2 linked regions of the Nothobranchius furzeri genome follow. Each later gene encodes a partner of the first gene's protein in a complex. Links are inferred from orthologs where the notes say so. Each region holds a gene or a part of one and is shown on either strand. Other genes may lie near its edges.

Region 1 (4,301 bases):
CAGTAAAACATCCAAAAATAGCATCACAAGCATCCCTCCCCACGGTGTCATGAATGTTATCTACATTCAAATCACACAAGTTAGTCCTTTCTCCAGATGATAAAGAATCAGTTTGTGTTTCCCGGTTTTATCTGTGTGGTTTCAACAGACTAAACTGCCTTTTTTTCATTACAACTCCAGCAAAAACAAATATATACAAGTGCTGAAATGTAGGATCTCCTGGAGTAAAAAAACATCCTCAGCAACACCTGCAATGTAAAAATAAGTGTTAGTTGCATTTCGTTGCCCATTGTAATTACAGAACTGTCAATTTTAATCCACAGCCAACCTAAATACTGCAGTTTTCTTTGTTGCCAAGAGATAAAACAGTGGAGCTAAAAATAAATTCAGATTTCACAGCAAAGAGTTTGCTTATGTAACATCTGCAGAGTGGAATTAGCGGATGTCTATGCAAGAGAGGTCATGAATGAGTTAACGAGATGTGTTTTTTTTATAACGGATCTCAACTCACCCTGATTTTCAAATCAGCTGCACCGCTCCGTTTGACACCAGCGGCGCTACGGTGCGGTATCGCATCAAATGCTGCGAGCCCTCTTCCAGATCCACAATATATTCTCTGACAGAAGAGGTGTTATTTTTCAGTATTTATACCTTAAACATGTCACTAGGTGTACAACGACAACACTGCCACCTACTGGATACTGAATGAACAGCAACCATGAGGAGAACTACCTCTGATCGTCGGTTTCAGGCTCCACCAAAATATTTTCCTGTTTCTCCTTCACTCGCAGAAACACAAAGGAGTCCAAGCAAGGCTCGGGCACTGGAATTGGATCAATCACAGGATTTAGTGCATCAGCCCGTGTGTGTGTGTGTTGCAGTAAATGCCACAAATGGCAATTTCCAAGGAAGCAAATATAATGTTTACCTGCTTTGAGCAGATCTACAGTCTGTAAGTTGAGTGGCATTCGCTTCAGCGCTACAGCCTTTAGGTAGGTTTCTGTGTTGGTGTAATACCTGCACACAACATTAAAATTAGTTTTTATTATTAAAATCCTAAATCAAACAGTTGACGTCACTCTATGCTCACTCTTTAGCAAAAGCAAACTCCTCAGGAGAGAGCAGAGATGGCTGTCCTTCCACTCGAGACTTCTCCCTCTCCAGGACGTGAGGAAAGAACTTTTCAATCTGAACACAGACAGCGTGACAGATCAGTGCTTTTTTTAAAGGTAAAAGAGAAACCGCGTAGATCTTTACGTTACTTCGACTGACTTTTTGCAGACGAGAGCGCAGGTAGCTGCTGAGGACAAAGCGGATCCTGTCTATTTCCATTCGGTGGAAGCTGGCTTTGGCATCACCTTTCTTTACCCGTTGCAGGTTTGATTCCTGTTTGGGGAAATGCCACAAAAAATAAATAAAAATTTATTTTAAAAAAAACACTACAAATAACACAGATCTGGAATATTAAAGAGCCACAGTAATCTAATGTCAGGATTCCAGTAGATAAATATCCTGATAGAAGAGAAATAAAAGCAAAAATTTCACCTTGAGCTCTTAGAAGACACAATTTTACACACCCTGGGGTCAAAATTCACTTGTAAGTCGCTTTGGACAAAAGCGTCTGCTAAATACATAAACATAAACATAAATATAAAGGTCAACTCTGAAAATAATCTACTTGTATTAGTTTATTATGTAAAATGTAATCACTGCATTAGTAAAGCATCTCCTTTAAAGTCTAGAGTAAAGCAGAAACAGGAGCTAATGATCAAAACGCTTCGTTTTTTTTTTACCACAATAAGAGAACATAAAGTATTGTTCCCACGCCTGCTTCAACAAACACTTTGAGGTTGTTTCTAGTAATTAGTCAAACACAAATCTGTTTTTCACACAGGATAATCTGACATAATATTTGTTATCGGCAAGCATTTAAATCATCACTTCACTAATCTAATGAATAGTCAAAGCAGTTTAATGTAATTAAAGGCAGAATCAGCATCAATTATTTAAATATAAATCTTTATTTTGATGCTTGTCTTATTGATTAATTTGGTATAACTAATAGAAACTAATCTAAATAAATGTTAAATATGATGTTAGTTTAGTTTCGTGTGTTTATTTTCTCCGGTATGCTCTGCTGTCTACAGCGTTTCCACTAAACAGCCAGCACTTGTTGAACATGAAACTAGAGAGTGATTGTGTGTGTTACAGAGAATCTGAGAGGTATTCCCCAGGTAGTTACCATATGAGTCAGCTGCTCCATCACACACTCCACCACCTCGGACTTGTTCTCCAGCAGCTCTGGGGAGAACTTCTCGTTCAGCCAAGCCTGCGGGTCACAAACACACCTGTAAGGCACAGCTGGCACAACATTAAAGCCAGGAAACAGCAGACCCAAAGACCCACAGTTCGACTTAAAACGTGATAAATCAAATAAAAAGACTCACTTCTTCTAGTTTAGCTATCAGCTCCGCCGGAGTCATGACATCCTGGCTGTCATCTTGGTTGATGTCGCTGCCGTCATCCGACAACGCGTCCGACATGCTTTCACTTTATAAGGTACGCTAATTAAATACTGCTGTTTTAGAAACGATATTGTTTTGGCTTCAAATAACAAAATGGGAAACTTAAATAAAAGTAATAAAACGAGTTTAGCTACACAGTCGTCCCTGAAGCTTCTGCGGTGCAAAATGCTCTTGTTTATTCGCGCCACTGGCGTTCTCGCGAGAGTTGTATTTTGTTCAAAAACCCCGAATTTTGACTGTAAGGCCAAGTCTTTCCCGCAGCCACAAAGATCAATAAAATACAAAAAAATGTAAATAGAAAAAGGCAGTATTTTTGAGATAAGAGAATGTTTTCTTATTTACTCTAAAGTGATTACTCACGTAATATTAGTCAGGTCATTCTGACCTGTCCGAAATGCATAACGAAGGGTAAAAAAATAACAACGCAGGGTTCTCTGGATTTCCTGCAAATAAAATAAAATGTTTTTGAACAAGCTTTTATTATAATAAGGAATTATAATAACATAACAACATTAATAATAGTAACATCAACAACAGTTAATAATAATAATAATAATAATAATAATAATAATAATAATAATAATAATAATAATAATAATAATAATAATAATGTTATTTGTATGGTAATTGTGTTTCATTTTTGATGTTGACTAAATAACATGAAAATAAATATTAAGTGGTCATTCATTACCATAATGAATTAAAATATTTGTTATTTTAATAACATGAAATTGGTAAAAAGCCATTTAAAAAATATGTACCGAGGTTTGCATGTTTTATAAAGCAGTATGTCAGATTTCCCATTCATTTAACAATGTCCAATGTTTATATACAACATTTAGTCTAAAGACATATCTACTTGAATATTGTTTACTATCTGTAGTACCTCATATTCATAGAATGAATATTCAAAATTCTGTCCTCCTCCTACCAGGGCTCAAATATCTCAAAACTATGATTACTGAACTTCCACTAGGTCACCCACGGTCTCTCTCACACACACATGCACACACACACATACATTTTTCAACATACCATCTCTTAGTCAGTCTTGCCCTGCATTTGAAATAAGTTCCATCATCTGCTTGACTTGTTGCATCTGTTTCCAGATAACAGTGGCCTGAGGGCTAATCTCATTTGTATGATTTCCTCTTTCTATTTCCTCCTTATTGCTCTCAGAGCATTTGTTCTACTGATGATTTTGCATTTGCCATGCAAACCTGTTGTTATAGTAGGCCTACTGACAATGAGCACCACTGACCACAGCTGGCACCCATAACTCTGTTCTAAATGAAACCTGCAGGGTCAAAACTGTGCAGATGGAGGATTGTTTTACACTGAAAAGTTTTTATTGCACAGATTTTTGATTGCATTTGTCATTTTTATTTAAATACATTAAAAACAATAACATTTGCAATAACTGTTTCTAGAAACTGTAACACTGGTATTAGATACATAAAGCATTTGTCACTGCATACATTTTTACAGATTTTACCATACAGTACTCAATGGGGGGTAAAAAACAGAATAAAGACAAGTGCAATGGAAGATGAGTGATGTATAACTGATGTTTTGACAAAATGGGATAATGTGAAATAACACCACAGTATGAATATACATCCATCCATCTAAATGTTTGCAATAGTGTAACTGCAAGAGAAATTATGCATAGTTGTTTTTTAAATAATGCACCAACAACAATCCTCTTTAACCATCACTACACCACCTTTATTTATTTTTGAATATTCTCATCATATAGTGAGCAGTGCTTATTTA
Region 2 (4,574 bases), on another chromosome or scaffold:
CAGGCATTAACTCAAGTTGAAGCTGTTAACGTCGTTTTTCTGATGATCTCAAATGGTTGTTTCTGTCTGAGAGGCTCTCCTAAATCACCGACAGGCCGACACTTCTCGGAAATGTTTCTCATGGTTTCATCTTTGGAAGTTTGTAGTACTTTTCCTCTGATGCTTCCCTCTGGTGTGGAAAGTGCGCCACACGGTGGTTGTATTTGTACCTGCAGATCACACTTACTTCGAACATTTGATTTTCTTCCTCTTCAATTAAGAGCACATTTAACTGTTATGTCTCATGGTTAAGTGCTCACAGACCACCGTGTAATCAGCACATCACACCCACACCATCGCAGCAACATCATCATTTAATCAACAAACAGACCTCTCTTTAATCCCTATTTTGTAAAGCAATAATATAATTTATTCTAGTACTAACTGTATTCTTAGTCTTCTCTAAGTGTATGTGCTGCTGTAGCAAGGTAATTTCTCCACTGTGGGACTATTCTATTCTACCAACACTATTGGTCTGTATTGCATATTTTGAACCAGAAGATGGCGGAAGTCCTCTGAAATCCAACCAATACAACAAGAAAGTGAGCTATTTAGCCCTAGTATTATTTCAGTTATTGATTAAATAATTTCTTGCAGAACATGTAGTCATGCTATGACATAATTAAAGTATGCTGTCTTAATAAATGCAAAAAGGAAATATCCAAGCTAGACCACACATATGTTGAGTTTCTGTCTAACACGAAAATCGGACCTCAAGAGACTCACGGAAATTCAGAAATTGGTATTTATTTGTTTATTTTTATTATGTTTTTCAGACAAGTTAACAACTTGCTGTACAAGTTTCAACACCTGTTGTTAGCTAATTAAACATACCGATCAGATTTCTCCTCTGTAAAAAAATATATATTTCTAAATTCATTAATCAAGAACTTTTCATAAGCTATAAATCATTTATGAACATATTAATTAACCACCAATAATTAATTCCAAGATACATTTCAGAAACTGGGTAAGAATGGAAACTTAGTCATAAACATTACTTTAAAAGGTCAATAAATTCAATAGTTTTGGGCCAAAGTCTCAAAGTCTCCATAAGTTAGCCAAACGTTGTAAAGCCGTATTAGGATAAGAAATGACGTAAAATGTTGTAATGAAAGATAACAGTGAAAATCCCATTTTCACAATCAGCTGTCCGTTTAAATCTGTAGCCTGATTATATAATGACCATAATAACGCACTTTTGCCATTTCATGTTTCAATCGCAAGAAAAAGTCGCTTCCTGTTGGACGAAACCAAATCAGCTAGGAGGCGTGATCAACAAAACACTTCACGTAGGATTCACAAAACAGGCTGCGAACATTAACATGAATAAAACAAACGTTTTAAAATTAATTTGATAGTTTTTTGGATTATGTAAAATTGTACAGTTATTAATGAGCAGAAAGGAGCAAAACTTAACCGTACACACCTCTGAAGTAAAGGAGTCGGCCGGAAACGGGAGGACAGTCCTTACTTTTTATTGGCTGAAAGTTCCCCGCGAAATCTACGTCAGCAGCAGATTCGCGCCACAACTGCGGCACTCGGACATACACAAAAGTGGTAAGAAAATCAGTAATTCTTCAAGTTAATCCTTGTTAAATCGGTAGGTAGCTTTTCAGTAACTGTACGCTTTGGCAAACAAGCTCATCTTAATTGCGAGCAAATGTTTGGGTTTTGTTTTTATTTAAGTCACATTTAACTCGCAGATCCAGTGAAATCCAACAGGCAGGGAGGTTCATTATTGTCTGTGCAGCCACATGTCAAATGGTGTCCAAAGTTAGCATAAGTGGCTCTAAAACTAACGGATGAGCATAGAACACCTTTTATTGAAGGAAAATGTTAACGTGACCAGATAAGTTGAGTCTGTTAATGAAGTTTGTAGGTCATTTTTGCCGCTAAGCGAGATTTTTCTGACTGTCGTGGTTTGACACTGCAGAGTTCTGTGTAGTTGTCTGACAATCAAGCGATTTCTATTTGAACCGGCCACCAATAGGAACCAGTAATAAACTGCCTACAGTTTAACCAAAACTCTCAGCATGTCAACTTGTTACTATTTAAAGTAAAAACTAAATTCTGAAAGTATTTGGTTGAATGTTAATTTAATTGGATTTAAGGAAATATCAACATGATGACTCCAACGCGTAGAATGGAGAAATTGTACAGAAACTGTTGGCAGTTTTTGATTATTTTTTTACGAAGCTTCTTTCATCCAAACAAAACATGCATCGTGAAAAGAAATGTATTGATCAAGTCTGAACATAAAAACGCTTAAATCACCCTAAGTCTTGTTTTTTGTCATGCAGATATCCCATCAGCCATGTCTTCCCCTGCATCGACTCCTGGTGGCCGCAAACGTGGAAGGAACACCAACCCTTCCACTCGTACGCTCATTTACATGTTCATCCCTGTGATGTGATTTATTGTTGTGAAGCATGCTTTGTTTACTTTGATGTTCTGTGTAAATCTCAGCGCTTAGGGAGGACCCAACCTCGCCTCCCTCTCAGCGACGCAGAGGTCAGGACTCCTCCACTGGTGACCTGATGCCTATGCCCACCTCTCCAGCCACAGACATGGCCAGTCCTGCAGCTCAGCAAGACACCTCCCTGTTCTCGAGCCCGCGGCCTTCAGGTATTTCATAGTTTTATTCTTTATGACCTTTTATAGAATAAAACTGAAATGAGATTATTAATCTGTTTGATGGGATTGCTACAGTTCTGCCTAATGAAGTGGACATGAGCTCCCCTCTGATGTATGGGACCCCGAGCTCCAGGGTCGAAGGGACCCCGCGCAGTGGAGTGCGTGGAACACCGGCCAGACAACGACCTGATCTGGGATCAGTCAGGAAGGCTCCTCAAGTTGATCTTCATTCTGATGCAGTCAGTAGAAGAGCAAGTTTAATGTTTTCAAATCCAGCCTGAAAACAGAGAATCTAAACATTCATTTTTATTTTTCAGCCAAGTGCAGATGGTGTTGCAGCAAATGAACCAAATGCAGCCCAGAGTCTGGTGATCTGGGGGACTGATGTCAACGTGGGAACCTGCAAGGAGAAGTTCCAGGTATGACCGTAACTGATATGTGATGTCTTTTTATTAGAACAAGTCTTTATGATCTTTTTGTGCTTTCAGAGGTTTCTGCAGCGGTTCATCGACCCAAATTCTACTGAGGATGAGAACGCTGGTCTGGACTTAAATGAGCCTTTGTACATGCAGAAGCTGGAAGAGGTACTCGCTGGTTCTACCGTGATCCTGCAGATCGTGTTCAGGTATTAACTTTCATGTCTTCGTCTCTCAGATCAGCGTTGTGGGTGACCCCGTGATAAACGTCAACTGCCAACATGTGCAGTCCTTTGACGCAGACCTGTACAGGCAGCTCATCTGCTACCCACAAGTATGGTAGTTCCGTTTAAACTTTAAAAATGAGAAAAAGTAAATTATTAAAGTGGGAAACATCCTGTTGTGTATTTTTTTGCAGGAAGTTATCCCGACCTTTGACATGGCCGTCAATGAGCTTTTCTTTGAGCGTTTCCCAGATTCCATTCTGGAGTACCAGATCCAAGTTCGCCCCTACAACGCCCTGAAAACCAGAAACATGAGGAGTCTGAACCCAGAAGGTGTGTGTGTGTGTTCATTAATTCAGGCCCAGATGAGCACATGCAAAACCTCCCATCCCATATTTTGTGTGGGGTTTCTGTGAACACTAACGCTTGTCGCCCCCACAGACATCGATCAGCTAATCACCATCAGCGGCATGGTGATCCGCACCTCGCAGCTCATCCCAGAGATGCAGGAGGCCTTCTTCCAGTGCCAGGTGTGCGCCTTCACCGTCCGCATGGAGGTGGATCGCGGCCGCATCGCCGAGCCGGGCGTGTGTCGCCACTGCAACAACACCCACAGTCTGGCGCTGATTCACAACCGCTCGGTCTTCTCTGACAAACAGATGGTGGGAGTTTGATGCTTCATGGTGACATCATCATCTGAATGTGGCAGGTGGTACTTAGTGATGCGTTGACAGATTCTGACATCTGTTCATTCACTGATCTTTGCAACAGATCAAAATTCAGGAGTCTCCCGAAGACATGCCGGCCGGGCAGACGCCTCACACCACGGTTGTGTACGCTCACAATGACCTGGTTGATAAAGTTCAGCCTGGAGACAGAGTAAACATCACCGGTAAGACCTCGAACTCATCCCTGCAGGAATAAACGTCACAATAATTCCCTTGGAACATTCAACCTGAGAAGATCAGTTCACATTTCACTTGAGTGCATCGACTTTTTAAGGCTCTGATCTCTTTGTGGGAATTTTGAACCGGTGCTTGTTCCAACTCTTGTCACCTTTGTCTGTCCAGGTATCTACAGAGCGGTCCCGATGCGCGTGAACCCACGTCAGAGCAACGTAAAGTCGGTCTACAAGACCCACATAGATGCCATCCACTTCCGCAAGACAGACGAAAAGCGTCTGCACGGTCTGGACGAAGAAGCCGAGCAAAAACTCTTCACGGAGAATCGTGTGCAGACCTTAAAGGAGCTGGCGGCC

What was found.
Region 2: gins4 (region 1) and mcm4 share a complex: the UniProt entries of both Homo sapiens proteins name them as parts of the CMG helicase complex. The link is inferred for Nothobranchius furzeri from reciprocal best matches to the Homo sapiens genes GINS4 and MCM4.

Annotation. Positions count from the first base shown.
Region 1 is NC_091757.1:38,273,259-38,277,559, reverse strand, and holds the start of gins4 (DNA replication complex GINS protein SLD5), read right to left. Parts: upstream 2,835-4,301; 5' UTR 2,544-2,834; coding exon 2,448-2,543; intron 2,330-2,447; coding exon 2,243-2,329; intron 1,387-2,242; coding exon 1,273-1,386; intron 1,189-1,272; coding exon 1,091-1,188; intron 1,018-1,090; coding exon 929-1,017; intron 824-928; coding exon 733-823; intron 617-732; coding exon 520-616; 3' UTR 512-519; intron 249-511; 3' UTR 1-248. UniProt on the Homo sapiens protein: Required for correct functioning of the GINS complex, a complex that plays an essential role in the initiation of DNA replication, and progression of DNA replication forks.
Region 2 is NC_091751.1:50,642,492-50,647,065, reverse strand, and holds the start of mcm4 (DNA replication licensing factor MCM4), read left to right. Parts: upstream 1-1,504; 5' UTR 1,505-1,599; intron 1,600-2,342; 5' UTR 2,343-2,356; coding exon 2,357-2,420; intron 2,421-2,508; coding exon 2,509-2,667; intron 2,668-2,751; coding exon 2,752-2,915; intron 2,916-2,993; coding exon 2,994-3,095; intron 3,096-3,164; coding exon 3,165-3,260; intron 3,261-3,330; coding exon 3,331-3,426; intron 3,427-3,510; coding exon 3,511-3,649; intron 3,650-3,757; coding exon 3,758-3,978; intron 3,979-4,087; coding exon 4,088-4,208; intron 4,209-4,386; coding exon 4,387-4,574. UniProt on the Homo sapiens protein: Acts as a component of the MCM2-7 complex (MCM complex) which is the replicative helicase essential for 'once per cell cycle' DNA replication initiation and elongation in eukaryotic cells.